3 linked regions of the Ovis aries genome follow. The protein of the gene in region 1 purifies or fractionates together with the protein of each later gene. This does not show direct contact. Links are inferred from orthologs where the notes say so. Each region holds a gene or a part of one and is shown in the gene's direction. Other genes may lie near its edges.

Region 1 (4,047 bases):
TGATGCTAGGAAAGACTGAAGACAAAAGGAGACGGGGACCACAGAGGATGAGATAGTTGGGAGGGCATCACTGACTCAATGGACATGAGTTTGAGCAAACTCATGGGAGATGGTGAAGGACAGGGAAGCCTGGCGTATTGCATTTCATGGGATTGCAAAGAGTAGGCCACTACTTAGCATCCGAATGACAATTCTGAGATGAGGCTTCCCAGGGTGAAGGAGGAGGACAGAGCCCCTTGCCCCTTTTCTCCAGCTCTCAAGGGTAAGCCTCCAGTGCTTCTTTCCTGCTGCCATCTGGCAATGACCCAGACCAATCTCCCAAGTCACTGGTGACCACATCTTCCAAACCAAAACTCCTAATTCATGGTCCGACAAAGAATTTCTGCCCACCTTCTAAACGCAAGAGAGAATACTGAGAGCTCTAGAATAATCCCTGTCTTTAAATTCAGGGTCTCCTCTTTATCACGCATTTTTCATACATAATGAAAAGAGCCCCAGGGGGTAGCTGATAATCATTTTCATTTAATAGTTGAAAATACGAAGATAGGAAATAACTTGCCCAAGATGCTATCTCCCGGAAGTTTGAATTTTGATCTCCTACTCGGATTCCTAGGTTTGCGCGCGCGCGTGTCTGTGTCGCGGGCGGGGAGTGAGGGTAGTAGCACGCAGAAATATCCTGAGCAATTGCAGACGCACACGCCATTTATTTGGGGCCTCAAGAAAGGGCAGCCAAGAACTAAGCTGCCCCGGTTCTCACTTCTGGGTTGGAAATCCCCGAGCAAAGGGCTCGGTCTCCGCCTCGTCCCATCAGGGTCTGGCCTCAGGCCTCACGGCCCGGTCACGGGAAAACACCCTTCGACCTTGAGGGTCACCCTGCGGCCTCCGGCCCTTGCTCAGCCCAGGTGCGGATGGGCGGGCCACGGCGTGGGCGAATGACTCCCCCGGTCAGGTTCTGCCCACCGCCCCCCCGTTCCCTGTCACATGGACGCGCCTTCCGCAGCCAGAAGTGCTGATCGGAACGAACCACGAGGAGGAGCGGGGGAGGTGCCCAGGGCAGTGGGTCAGCGCCCCGCGGGGCAGGTGGGCGGGCCCCACCGCCTCGAGCCGGCCCGCCAGCCAGTCAGCGGGCGCGGAGGGCGGGCCGGCGGGCGCGCGCGCGCGCGCCGCGCCCCGCAGCGCCCCCTGAGGGGCGGCGGCGGGAGCTGGTTCCGGCTGCGCGCGCAGCGGTGGTGGTGGCGGCGGCGCGATCGGCCGGGGCTGTAACCGTCGTCCGTCCGGTAGCGGCTGGAGCGGCAGCGGCGGCCGGTCACGGGGCGAGGCGAGGCCACAGGGCAGTGGCGGCAGCGGGGACAGCGGCAGCAGCCGGAGACGCAGCGGCGGCCGTAGCAGCAGCAGCAGCAGCAAGACGGACTCGTGGACACGCGCCGCCGCCGCCGCCGGGCCGGGCCGGGTGTCGCGCGCCGAGGCTGGGGGGGAGTCGTCGCCGCCACCGCTACCGCCGCCGCCGCCGCCGCCGAGGTGACTGAGGAGAGAGGCGCCTCCTCGCTCCCGCCGCCGCCAGACTTCAATGCCCAGTCCCCAGCTCGCCAGCGTGAGTTGCGCGGCTCCCGGGCGGCCCCCCGCGCCGCCTCCCGGGGGCCTCGGGGCAGGGGAGGGCGGGAGGCGCCGCAGCCATTAGTGCAGGCCCGAGACACGTCCCCGGAAGAAGGGCCGGGCTGGGGCCGGGGGCGGGGGGAGCGCGGCCGGGAAGCGTGGAGAGCGAGGGTGGGTGAGGAGGGGGGGATCGCGCGTGTGGGAGGGGAGAGGAGCGAGTGCTGTGTGCAAGAATGTGGAGTGTGGGGCGGGGGGGGGAATGTGCGTGTGTGAAGGCGAGAGTGTGAGTTGGGGAACAGGGCTGTGTGCATGTGGGGAGAGCGTGGCGAGGGAGAAAGTGCAGATGGGGGAGTTGGGGGGCTGTGTGTGTGTGTGTGTGTGCGCGCGCGCGCTCGCTTGCAGAGGAGAGTGAGGGGAAGTGTGAGTAGGGGGCGGTAGGGGGTACAGTGTCAGGAGGGTGGGAGGTGAGTGTAGGGGAGAGGGAGCGGGGAGCATGTGGGAACGAGTGAGTGGGGGGAGAATGCTTGTGCGTGGGAGAGTGGGGTAAATGGGGAGCGTGAGTAAGTGGGGGAGGGAGAGTTTGCGTGCTAGGGGTAGAGTGATGGGCGGGAGAACGTGAGAGCAGAGTGAGACAGAGCTCGGGGAGAAGGTGAAGGGCAGGCGGATGAGGGAGCGTGGAAGTGTCTGCCTGCGATTGTCCAGTCTGTGAGCAGGCATCCTTGGGGGCCATCCTTGATCGTTTTCTAGGGCCGTAGCGAGCCTGGGTGTCCTGGGTTAGGGAGTTCTTTCCAGGAGCATCTTGTGCTTGGGTCCTTGGGTTCAAGTATGAGCAAAGGGTACAGAAGTCTATGCCAGTGGCAATATCATTTTCTGGCCCTGTGCCTCCTCCTCCCCCCCCCCCAATATTTCAGAACATGGACATCAATTTCCAAATTTGTCGAGCACATGATTGGTTGGCATCCCACCCTAGTCTGGGTTCTGAAAGCTAGCTAAAACAAGTTTGTGTATTGCCTGGGATCCTAGACTCTTGCCTTTTGAGTGTTCAGATAGACTGTTGTAAAGTACTGCTAGTTTTTCAGGTGAGAGGTGTTTTATTGTTAGGTAAATATATAAGAAATGTGTTTTAGGTTTTACCTCCTTGCTACCCTTCTGGAGAGAAGCTTTTAAGAAATAATAGTAATAATTGTGTAGCATGTTGATGATGAAGCTCAATCATAGCATAGTTTATTATTTTCTAGAATTTTTCAAGAAATGTGTAAAATAGCAGTTGTAGCATCATTGTATGCATTCAGCAAATGCTTTTCTGTGTGGAGTCACCAAGTTGTAGCTACTGCTGGATTAAATGTGGTAGTTACTGGCTCCATTGCTCTGTGTTACAGAGTCTTTCAGACAGGAAGTCAGTGAAGTTATGCCTTAGTCCACATGCAAAAGGAAATTAAGGCTTCATCATCACTTGCCAGCGTAATCATTGTGTTGGTGAAGATGGTGAAAAGTTGCTTGCTGGTATTCATTTTAAAAGTAGTCTCATGTTGTATGGTGAATGGACTAATCATTGCCATGGACTTTTCCAGATTCTTGTGTTGTAGAAGGAAGTAGGGGTTCTTGATGAAGAGTGCCTTGATACGGATTTTATACTGAAATGATGAAAAGTCTCTTAGAAGTTGGAAGTGTAGTGTGGTCCTTTTGGTATTCAATGTGATAGAACTACAAGCAAAAGCATTTGTATATAATTAGAAGTCAGAAATTATAAATTTCTTACTGTGTCCTTTTCTTGATCATTAGCATGCTCTCTACTTTGAGAAACAGTGAGTAGTATTGTTATCATTTGGTGGGTGACTGGATTAATTAGTATTAAGTGCCTACTGTGTACCAGGTGCTTTTTATACTCTTGTTCAGTTCTCACAGCTACTATTAAAAGGTGGTAGGTGTTCTCATTTGCATTCATTTGACACATATGGTTTCTATTTGCCAGACTTTAGGGATACAGTGATGAGCCCTCATTGACTTCAGTGATGAAATGAGACAGTATGGAGACTCAAAGAGGTTAATTAACTTGTCCCAGGTCAGAACTTATAATAAGAATGGGAGCTAGATTAAAAACCCAGGTCAGTCTGACTCCATAGTCTTTGATTTTTTCCACTATACCATTAACTTCCCTCACGCTAGGTTGTCTCTCTTTGAAGTTTCTCATCCACACAGTGACCTAGCAGCTTGTGCAGGTAAGAGGTGTTGAGGTTAATGCAAAAGACTGAAGGCTGGAGGCGAGTAGATCTTTAAGGAGATGCTGACTTGAGGCTCTTTGGGGCCTAAGTTAGGATAGGCTTTTATGTGGGTGGAGATTCTGCCTTGGAACTCACTTGGGGCCTTAGGGTGTGTGCTTTGAGACAGAGTTTTTATGAGGCACCTGGGATATGTCTGGGAGAGAAAAGTCTGATTAAAGAAACCCAATAGACT
Region 2 (4,240 bases), on another chromosome or scaffold:
GAGTTTGGTCCCGGAAGGGCAGACAATAACAATAACAACAACAACAACAATAACAATAACAGCCGCATAGTCAGAGAGCATTCAGAGAGTCGTCCTGTCCTGTCCCATGCCTAGGGCAGCTGTTCCCACAAGGTTAGTGACGTGGTGCTCTGTTAGCATTTCTTGCTTTTTATTTATTGATTTGGCTACGTCAGTTCTTAGTTGTGGCTTGTGCACTCTTCCTTGCAGTTGCTTTGCGGGCTTAGGTGCCCTGTGGCATGTGAGATCTTAGTCCCTGGACCTGAGATCGAACCCACATTCCCTGCATTGGAAGGTGGACTCTTAACCAATTGGACCACCAGAGAAGTCCCTGTGTTATCATTCTTACCCCCATTTTACAGAAGAAGCAGCTGGGGCTTAGAGACATTCCAACTTGTCTTACTGAAGTCACACAAGCCTGCTCTTAAGATAACAGTCTAGATGGGCCCTGCTTTGTGCCTAGACACAATTTCTTCATCTGTAATATGGAAATATCTTACGGTTGTTTGGGAGGATTAAAAAATATTCTGTATTAGAAATGTTTTTAGCTGAATTGGGTCTTCATTGCGGCACAGGGGCTTCTCTAGCAGGCAAATTCTTAACCACTGGACTAACAGGGAAGTCCTTGCATGTGTTTGTTGGTTGCCTGTTTCCTATCCTAGACTGCCAGCTCCAGGGGGCAGGATCTTTGGCTCATCCACTGCTATATTGTTTGAGCCTGGAACAAGTGCCCAGCACCGGAGCGCTCAGTCTTTGTGTCCTAAAGGGAAATGAAAGACCATGCTCCTTCCATCTGCATTCCCTGCATCTGGTCCCCCAGACTTCCCCTCCACTGGCCCCAGAGATCTCTGGCCTGGTCCTGGGGGATCAACTTCTGGCCTCTGGGCAAGGTGGGCAAAAGCCCCAGGAGTGCAGAGGTCAGAACAATGTCTGTGGACGTGAAGACCTCCCTCAGGCCTCTGCTCTCGGGTTCTCCTTTTCTTTTCTTAAAGCAGGAAAAGCAGTTTTCTGGCCCCGAGCACCACGTGGTGCTGCTTCGGAGGTTCTTACAGAGAAGAGTCACCGCCTCCGTTGCAGCTTTTTGGGGAAGAGGAACGAGCCCAGCAAGCGAGGCCAGGCTAGGCTGCGGAAGCGGACAGTGCGATAGGCAGAGCAAAGCGGCGCGGAGGAGAGCAGGACCCGCCAAGAGGGCGGAAAAGCTTGCGATGAGGAGGGCGGGGCGGAGAGCCTCCCGCTGCTCCCACGCTCTCACGCCACGCCACCTTAAATGCCGGACTTCCTTAAGGGAGGGCGCGAGCCGCGCGCCAGGGGCGGAGCCTCCCATGCAAATGAGAGGCGTGGGTCGCGGGGCGGGGCAGATGGGGCGCTGACCTGACGTCAGGCCCGCGGCCGGGACAGTTGGCTCAGCGGCGGCGGAGCGGCAGGAGCGGCGGCGCGAGCGGGGCTGCGCGGCGGGCGCGGGGAGCGGCGGCGGCTGCCGAGCCGGAGCAACATGGCGCCGGTGGGCGGGGGCGGGCGCCCCGGCAGTGGGCCGGCCCGAGGGCGCCTCCTCCTGGCGGCGCTGGTGCTGCTGGTGCCGCTGTGGGCGCCGGGGGTCCGTGGCCAGGGCGACCCCCAGCGGAGCGCGATCCTGGGCATGAGGCTGACGAACTGCAACAAATCGTGTGGGATAAACACGGATGGCATCATCTACGTGTCCGAGGGCAGCACGGTGAACCTGAGGCTGTACGGCCAGGGGCTGGACTCCTTCTCTAGCAACCTGATCTCCTTCACTGAGGTGGACAACGCTGAGACCTTCCACAACTCCACTGACTGCCTCGAGCTCACCAAGGACCTGGTCGTCCAGAAGCTGGTCAACGTGAGCCGCGGGGACACGTCGGGGATGCTGGTGGTGCTCACTAAGTTCCTCCGGAGGAGTGAGAACATGAAACTGTATGCGCTGTGCACCCGGGCGGGCGTGGACGGGCCCTGGCAGAGGTGGACGGACAAGGATTCGCTGCTCCTCATGGTGGAGGAGCCTGGGAGGCTCCTGCCCCTCTGGCTGCACATCCTCATCATTATGGTGCTGCTGGGGCTGTCGGGCATATTTTCCGGCCTCAATCTGGGGCTGATGGCCCTGGACCCCATGGAGCTGCGCATTGTGCAGAACTGTGGCACTCAGAAGGAGCGGCGCTATGCCCGCAAGATCGAGCCCATCCGTCGCAAGGGCAACTACTTGCTCTGCTCCCTGCTGCTGGGGAACGTGCTGGTCAACACCTCCCTCACCATCCTTCTAGACAACCTCATCGGGTCCGGCATCGTGGCTGTGGCCTCCTCCACCATTGGCATTGTCATCTTCGGGGAGATCGTGCCTCAGGCCCTGTGCTCCCGACACGGGCTGGCCGTGGGTGCCAACACGATCATCCTCACCAAATTCTTTATGCTGATCACCTTCCCGCTCAGTTACCCCATCAGCAAGCTCCTGGACTTCGTCCTGGGTCAGGAGATCCGCACCGTTTACAATCGGGAGAAGCTGATGGAGATGTTGAAGGTGACCGAGCCCTACAACGACCTCGTGAAAGAGGAGCTGAACATGATCCAGGGGGCCTTGGAACTGCGGACCAAGACCGTGGAGGATATCATGACCCAGCTGCAGGACTGCTTCATGATCCGCAGCGATGCCATCCTGGACTTCAACACCATGTCAGAGATCATGGAAAGCGGCTACACCCGCATCCCTGTGTTTGAAGACGAGCAGTCCAACATCGTCGATATCCTCTACGTCAAGGACTTGGCCTTCGTGGATCCCGATGACTGCACCCCGCTCAAGACCATCACCCGTTTCTACAACCACCCAGTGCACTTCGTCTTCCACGACACCAAGCTGGATGCCATGCTGGAGGAGTTCAAGAAGGGTGAGGCCCCAGGATGCGGCTCCCGCATCCCTCTATGCGGTACCTCGAGTATCCTGACCTGTCTTGTGTCTGCTGATCTTAGCGTTCCGTTCGTGTGACTCTGTCCAAGTGCCCAGCACTCCCCATGCCTCGGCAGAGATGGGCACTCAGGCCAGCAGAAATAGCTCTTAAGCATCTGCCAGGAAGTGTGCTTTGTGCCCCAGGTGGATCCAAGCAGGGCAAGACATACTTGCCTGTGTGGGAGCAGGATGGAGTGAGGCTAATGTCTACAAGGAGGCCAGCACCTGGGCAGGGAGATTAGGGCGTGGTACTGGAGCCAGCAGGTCCTATTGGGGTCGGGTGGGGAAGGGGCTGGGGAACCCGGAAAACCTTCACAGCGGAGGGAACATTTGGGGAAATCCTTGAAAGCTGGGGAGACTTGGTCCTTGAGGCAGAGGGAACCCCTTGAGCAGAGAAGCTGAGTTGGGGAGCAGACGATGTGCTTCTGGTTCAGCAAGTGGTTCCCTTCCTGTGGGTACAGGCTCTGCTGATCAGTGGTCAGTAGGGGAGAGACCGAGTCACCCATTGCCTTGGGAAGAACCTGAAAGTCAGGGCAGTCAGTCTGCTGGGCTCTCGGAGCTCTGGAAGTTTTTGGAGCCAAGCGAGAATGGTGTCACTGGAGCGCCTGGCCCACGGAAGCCAAGTTGGGAGGGCACTCACTGGCTCCCTGCCGAGAGCAATGCCAAGTAATGCTTTTGACTGTTCAGCAGAAGCGAGCAGATTAAGCTTTGGTTATTCTATCTTTCCCAGGCGCCCCACATAAGCTTCCCTCCTGTGGTCTGCTGGGTATCTTCAGTCGGCCTGGTGGTTTTTTTTCTCACACGTGCTCTTGGTTGTTAGACACTTGGAGGGTTTACTCGGCAGCCTCAGCGCTCAGAGCACACACCCCTTTCCTTACTTCTAGCAAAACTTTCCTCCTGCCTCTGCCACTCCGAGTGACAGTAAACAAGCCAATTATGGAGCAAAACCCTCCTCGGCCAAAGGCGGAGAGGAGACCAAAAGGGGAGCTCTTTATAAAGGAATGAGGGAGGTCACCTAAACCCCAGAGCTCTGTTTCACTCCCCAAGACCGCAGCCCGTTGTTGCTCGGTTCTGGAGAGCCTCAACTGGCTGGATCAGTGGGTGACAGAGTAGGATAGGGAGGAGCTGGCCTGGCAGGATGCTGGGGTTAGAGCCAGGGTGGGGACTGGGTACCTTCCCTTTTTCAGTTTGACAGACTGAATCTCAGCATCGGAGCTGAGGAGAGAACTCCAGTTACATAAGCTTGAGTGGGAGACAGCCTGTAAAGTG
Region 3 (4,176 bases), on another chromosome or scaffold:
TACTGTGATGAGTGGAAAGCCAGAGTAGGGTTTCAAACAAAGAAGGGACAGTGGCTTATTTAACAAAACTACTCTGGCTGGTGGGTTGAGAAGGGAAGGGGACAGGTGTAGAAGAGGATAGAACAGTGAGGAGGCCCTTGCAGTTATATCTTATTAGAAATTAATAAAAATTTTACAGAAAGGAAAATGTGCTTACAGCATAGAAAAAATGGAAATAATTTTTTGGATGTTTAAGTTCCAAGAAAAAAAACCAGTTTGGCTACTCTGTTTCCTCCAGATACAGAGGGGCTTGGGAGTCCTTGGTCTTCAGATTTTTTTTTCTCCTGAGCCACCAATGAACCTAGCAGGGTTTGGTCAGTGTGTTTAAGAATGAGCCTTTATGGATCTGCTTAGGATGTCCGCCCTGTCCCATTTCCCAGATTTGCCCAAGTGCCTACTAGGAATAGATTCTTGAGTCCTACCCATCCAGTAAGTATGGAATGGGGCCAGGGAATATATATTTTCAGTAAGAAATTGAAGGGATTCTTATAACTTGGAAGATGAGGAACTGCCCCACCTCCTGAACACCTTTTTGGGTTTGCAGCATACCTGGAAAGCATTGCAGGGAGCCCGTGCTACCGGCAGGTGGCGCTACCTGACCGTGAGCTGCAGAGGGCATCTGTCCCTTAAGGATAAGCTAGCAGCTCCAGCGGAGCGCGTAGGTGTGGTGTTGGGGCCCACCAGCCACCGCTCATCCCGAGCGGAGAGGAGTGCTGGAGTAAAGAAGCGGGGCGCAGCAGGTACCTCGGCTTCATTTTAGGCTAATGTGCACCTTGAGTCAGGAAGGTGTAGCCCTCTCTGCACGGGCACTGAGCACGCGGGAGCCGGCAGCGTGGCCCGGCGAGAGCCGGCAGCCTCGGGCCACAGAACATCAGTCCTGCGGGCCACCCTAGGGACAGGAGTACTACCGAGGCCCCTCCGAGCCGTCAGACTCGCAGAAGGCCCCTATGCATTGGCAGCCGGGACGGCGGGCTCCGCCCCTTTTCGTACGGCTGTCATCTGTGACTGGCTCTTGGGCCCGGGCTGGCCACACCTCCTCCCCTCGCACATACACAAGAGTCACGCGCCTTTCAGTTGGAAACTTAGAGTGCAGAGGAGGACGCTGTCTCTCGTCTCCCCACCCACTTATCTTGCCATTGGCTCGCGGCGCCGCTCACGGCCACGCCCCCATTCCAGCCCCAAGGCTGGGAAGGCGGGCACCTGCTGGTGATTGGCTGGTCGGCCTGCCTCTCGCAGGAGCCGCTGGCACTCCCCCCACCCTCTCCCCCCTCCCGCTAGCCTCGAGGTCTCGGTGCTGGCCCAGGCCGAGTCAGTGTCAGTCAGGGAGGCGGATTGCTGAGCAGTGGGTTCGAACACTGCATTGCAATCTCGCCCCAGGGCCGATGCCTGCGCTCGCGCCGCCGGCTGAGAAGGATGAAGCCGCAGCTGGAGCAGCCACCCTATGATTGGCTGTGGCGCTTGTGAACCCGAAGTAAAGATGGCGGGCGGGCAGGCAGCCGCCGCACTGCCCTCTTGGAAGATGGCGGCGCGCCGCAGCCTCAGCGCCCGCGGCCGGGGGCTCCTGCAGGCGGCGGGGCGGCTGCTGCCGTTGCTACTGCTGAGCTGCTGCTGCGGCGCGGGCGGCTGCACGGCGGTGGGCGAGAACGAAGAGACGGTGATCATCGGGTTGCGGCTGGAGGACACAAACGACGTGTCGTTCATGGAAGGGGGGGCGCTGCGGGTGAGCGAACGGACCCGGGTCAAGCTGCGGGTGTACGGGCAGAACATCAACAACGAGACATGGTCCCGCATTGCATTCACAGAGCACGAGCGGCGGCGCCACAGCCCCGGCGAGCGCGGGCTGGGGGGCCCCGCGCCGCCGGAGCCGGACAGCGGCCCCCAGCGCTGCGGCATCCGCACATCAGATATCATCATCTTGCCCCATATCATTCTCAACCGCCGTACATCGGGCATCATTGAGATAGAGATCAAACCGCTGCGCAAGATGGAGAAGAGCAAGTCCTATTACCTGTGCACGTCGCTCTCCACGCCAGCCCTAGGCGCCGGCGGCTCGGGGTCCGCGGGTAGCGCCGTCGGGGGCAAGGGCGGCTCCGGGGTGGCCGGGCTCCCGCCGCCACCGTGGGCCGAGACCACCTGGATTTATCACGATGGCGAGGATACCAAGATGATCGTGGGGGAGGAAAAGAAGTTCCTGCTGCCCTTCTGGCTGCAGGTGATCTTCATTTCGCTGCTCCTGTGCCTGTCGGGCATGTTCAGCGGCCTCAACCTTGGACTCATGGCCCTAGACCCGATGGAGCTGCGCATTGTGCAGAACTGCGGCACCGAGAAGGAGAAGAATTACGCCAAGCGCATCGAGCCCGTGCGCAGGCAGGGCAACTACCTGCTGTGCTCGCTGCTGCTGGGCAACGTGCTGGTCAACACCACGCTCACCATCCTGCTCGACGACATCGCTGGCTCAGGCCTGGTGGCGGTGGTGGTCTCCACCATCGGCATCGTCATCTTCGGGGAGATCGTGCCCCAGGCCATCTGCTCCCGGCACGGCCTGGCTGTGGGAGCCAACACAATCTTTCTCACCAAGTTTTTCATGATGATGACCTTTCCCGCTTCTTACCCGGTCAGCAAGCTGCTGGACTGCGTTCTGGGCCAGGAGATAGGCACCGTCTATAACCGGGAAAAGCTGCTGGAGATGCTCCGGGTCACAGACCCCTACAATGACCTCGTAAAGGAGGAGCTGAATATCATCCAAGGGGCGCTGGAGCTCCGCACCAAGACGGTGGAGGACGTGATGACTCCCCTCCGGGACTGTTTCATGATCACCGGCGAAGCCATTCTGGACTTCAACACCATGTCGGAGATCATGGAGAGCGGCTACACTCGCATTCCAGTATTTGAGGGGGAACGCTCCAACATCGTGGACCTCCTCTTCGTCAAAGACTTGGCCTTCGTGGATCCAGATGACTGTACTCCCCTGAAAACCATCACGAAATTTTATAACCACCCCTTGCACTTTGTTTTCAATGACACCAAGTTGGACGCTATGCTGGAAGAATTTAAGAAAGGTGGGAAAATTTTGGTATCCTTTCATTGGCTTGCTCTTTCTCACTCCATCCTCCTCCCTACTTGAGTCCTCTACCCTCAGACCAACCCCCCAAGGCGAGTTGACCGGAATTTCTCCTCTCTTTTAATTGTAAAGTTGAAAGGGTGGCATGGATTTGAGGGTGGATTGAACTAGTAAGCGCTTCTAGGTTCTTTAAAACCACAAGACTGCCCTGGCTTGCTTCCTTCCCTATCAAAGCAGGCTTCCTATTTTCTGGTACTTCCTATTTTCATGGTACTCTTACCCCCTGCACTCTGGCCTTGAGAAATCTGCTGCATTCATTGCGGGATTCTGAGTGGGTAGATGAAAAAAGGGACCCGTTGATGCCATGCTGTGCCATTTGGTTGCTATGTACTAAACTCAGGCATTTGGAGAACGTTTAAATGGCTTTTCTAAACCCAGAGCAATCAGTTGATATTTCCGAGATTGGAAGTGCATTTTCAGTTGCTTCAGTTCCTGGTTGTCTGGTGACCTGTGGGAGAGATTAGGGCCTGCTTTTGAGAATAGGGTATGGGATAAGCCAGGTATCACTAAAGAAAATCACTCATTTAGTTGACTTGCCTTCGCTGGAAAAGAGATGTTTTGTTGTTGTTGTTGTTGTTGTTTAAACTAAAGCTATTTGTTAATATATAACTCGGAAAGACTAGAGATAAGTTAACCTTTTATGAGGCTCTATATTGCTTAGCTTTCTTCACTGTTTGTTTACATTTACCTAACAACAAATAAAATTTCCCAAACCAAGTGTGGTTTTGGCAGAAAGTTTGGATCTTAACAATGGGATTAATTCCTCTATGGTTTGTCAATTTCTTGAGACTTTCTGGTTTAAAAGTGTTCTTTTTAACCTTGATCACCTGGTATGTTAAATGGAAATATGTCTGCGAGTCATTGTTCACTGTTCCAGGGAGCTTTACCAGGAAAGAGAAGTACAGAGGGTGGTGTGCTCACCTTTCTTGCATAGTGGTGTTTTCTGTTTGTTTTACCGTGTAACGAACCAGCAACTCATACTGTTATCACTGAAATTCTGACTTTAAAAATGTTTC

Evidence for each region.
Region 2: the proteins of PTP4A2 (region 1) and CNNM4 purify together in Homo sapiens (affinity purification with mass spectrometry; 6 studies listed by BioGRID and IntAct, counting the BioPlex papers as one, with this or other methods). This does not show direct contact. The link is inferred for Ovis aries from reciprocal best matches to the Homo sapiens genes PTP4A2 and CNNM4.
Region 3: the proteins of PTP4A2 (region 1) and CNNM2 purify together in Homo sapiens (affinity purification with mass spectrometry; 4 studies listed by BioGRID and IntAct, counting the BioPlex papers as one, with this or other methods). This does not show direct contact. The link is inferred for Ovis aries from reciprocal best matches to the Homo sapiens genes PTP4A2 and CNNM2.

Annotation. Positions count from the first base shown.
Region 1 is NC_056055.1:235,540,474-235,544,520, forward strand, and holds the start of PTP4A2 (protein tyrosine phosphatase type IVA 2), read left to right. Parts: upstream 1-1,199; 5' UTR 1,200-1,591; intron 1,592-2,599; exon of another isoform or gene 2,600-4,047.
Region 2 is NC_056056.1:103,760,501-103,764,740, reverse strand, and holds the start of CNNM4 (metal transporter CNNM4), read left to right. Parts: upstream 1-1,414; 5' UTR 1,415-1,510; coding exon 1,511-2,912; intron 2,913-4,240. UniProt on the Homo sapiens protein: Probable metal transporter. The interaction with the metal ion chaperone COX11 suggests that it may play a role in sensory neuron functions. May play a role in biomineralization and retinal function.
Region 3 is NC_056075.1:23,248,355-23,252,530, forward strand, and holds the start of CNNM2 (metal transporter CNNM2), read left to right. Parts: upstream 1-1,350; 5' UTR 1,351-1,480; coding exon 1,481-3,098; exon of another isoform or gene 3,099-3,194; intron 3,195-4,176.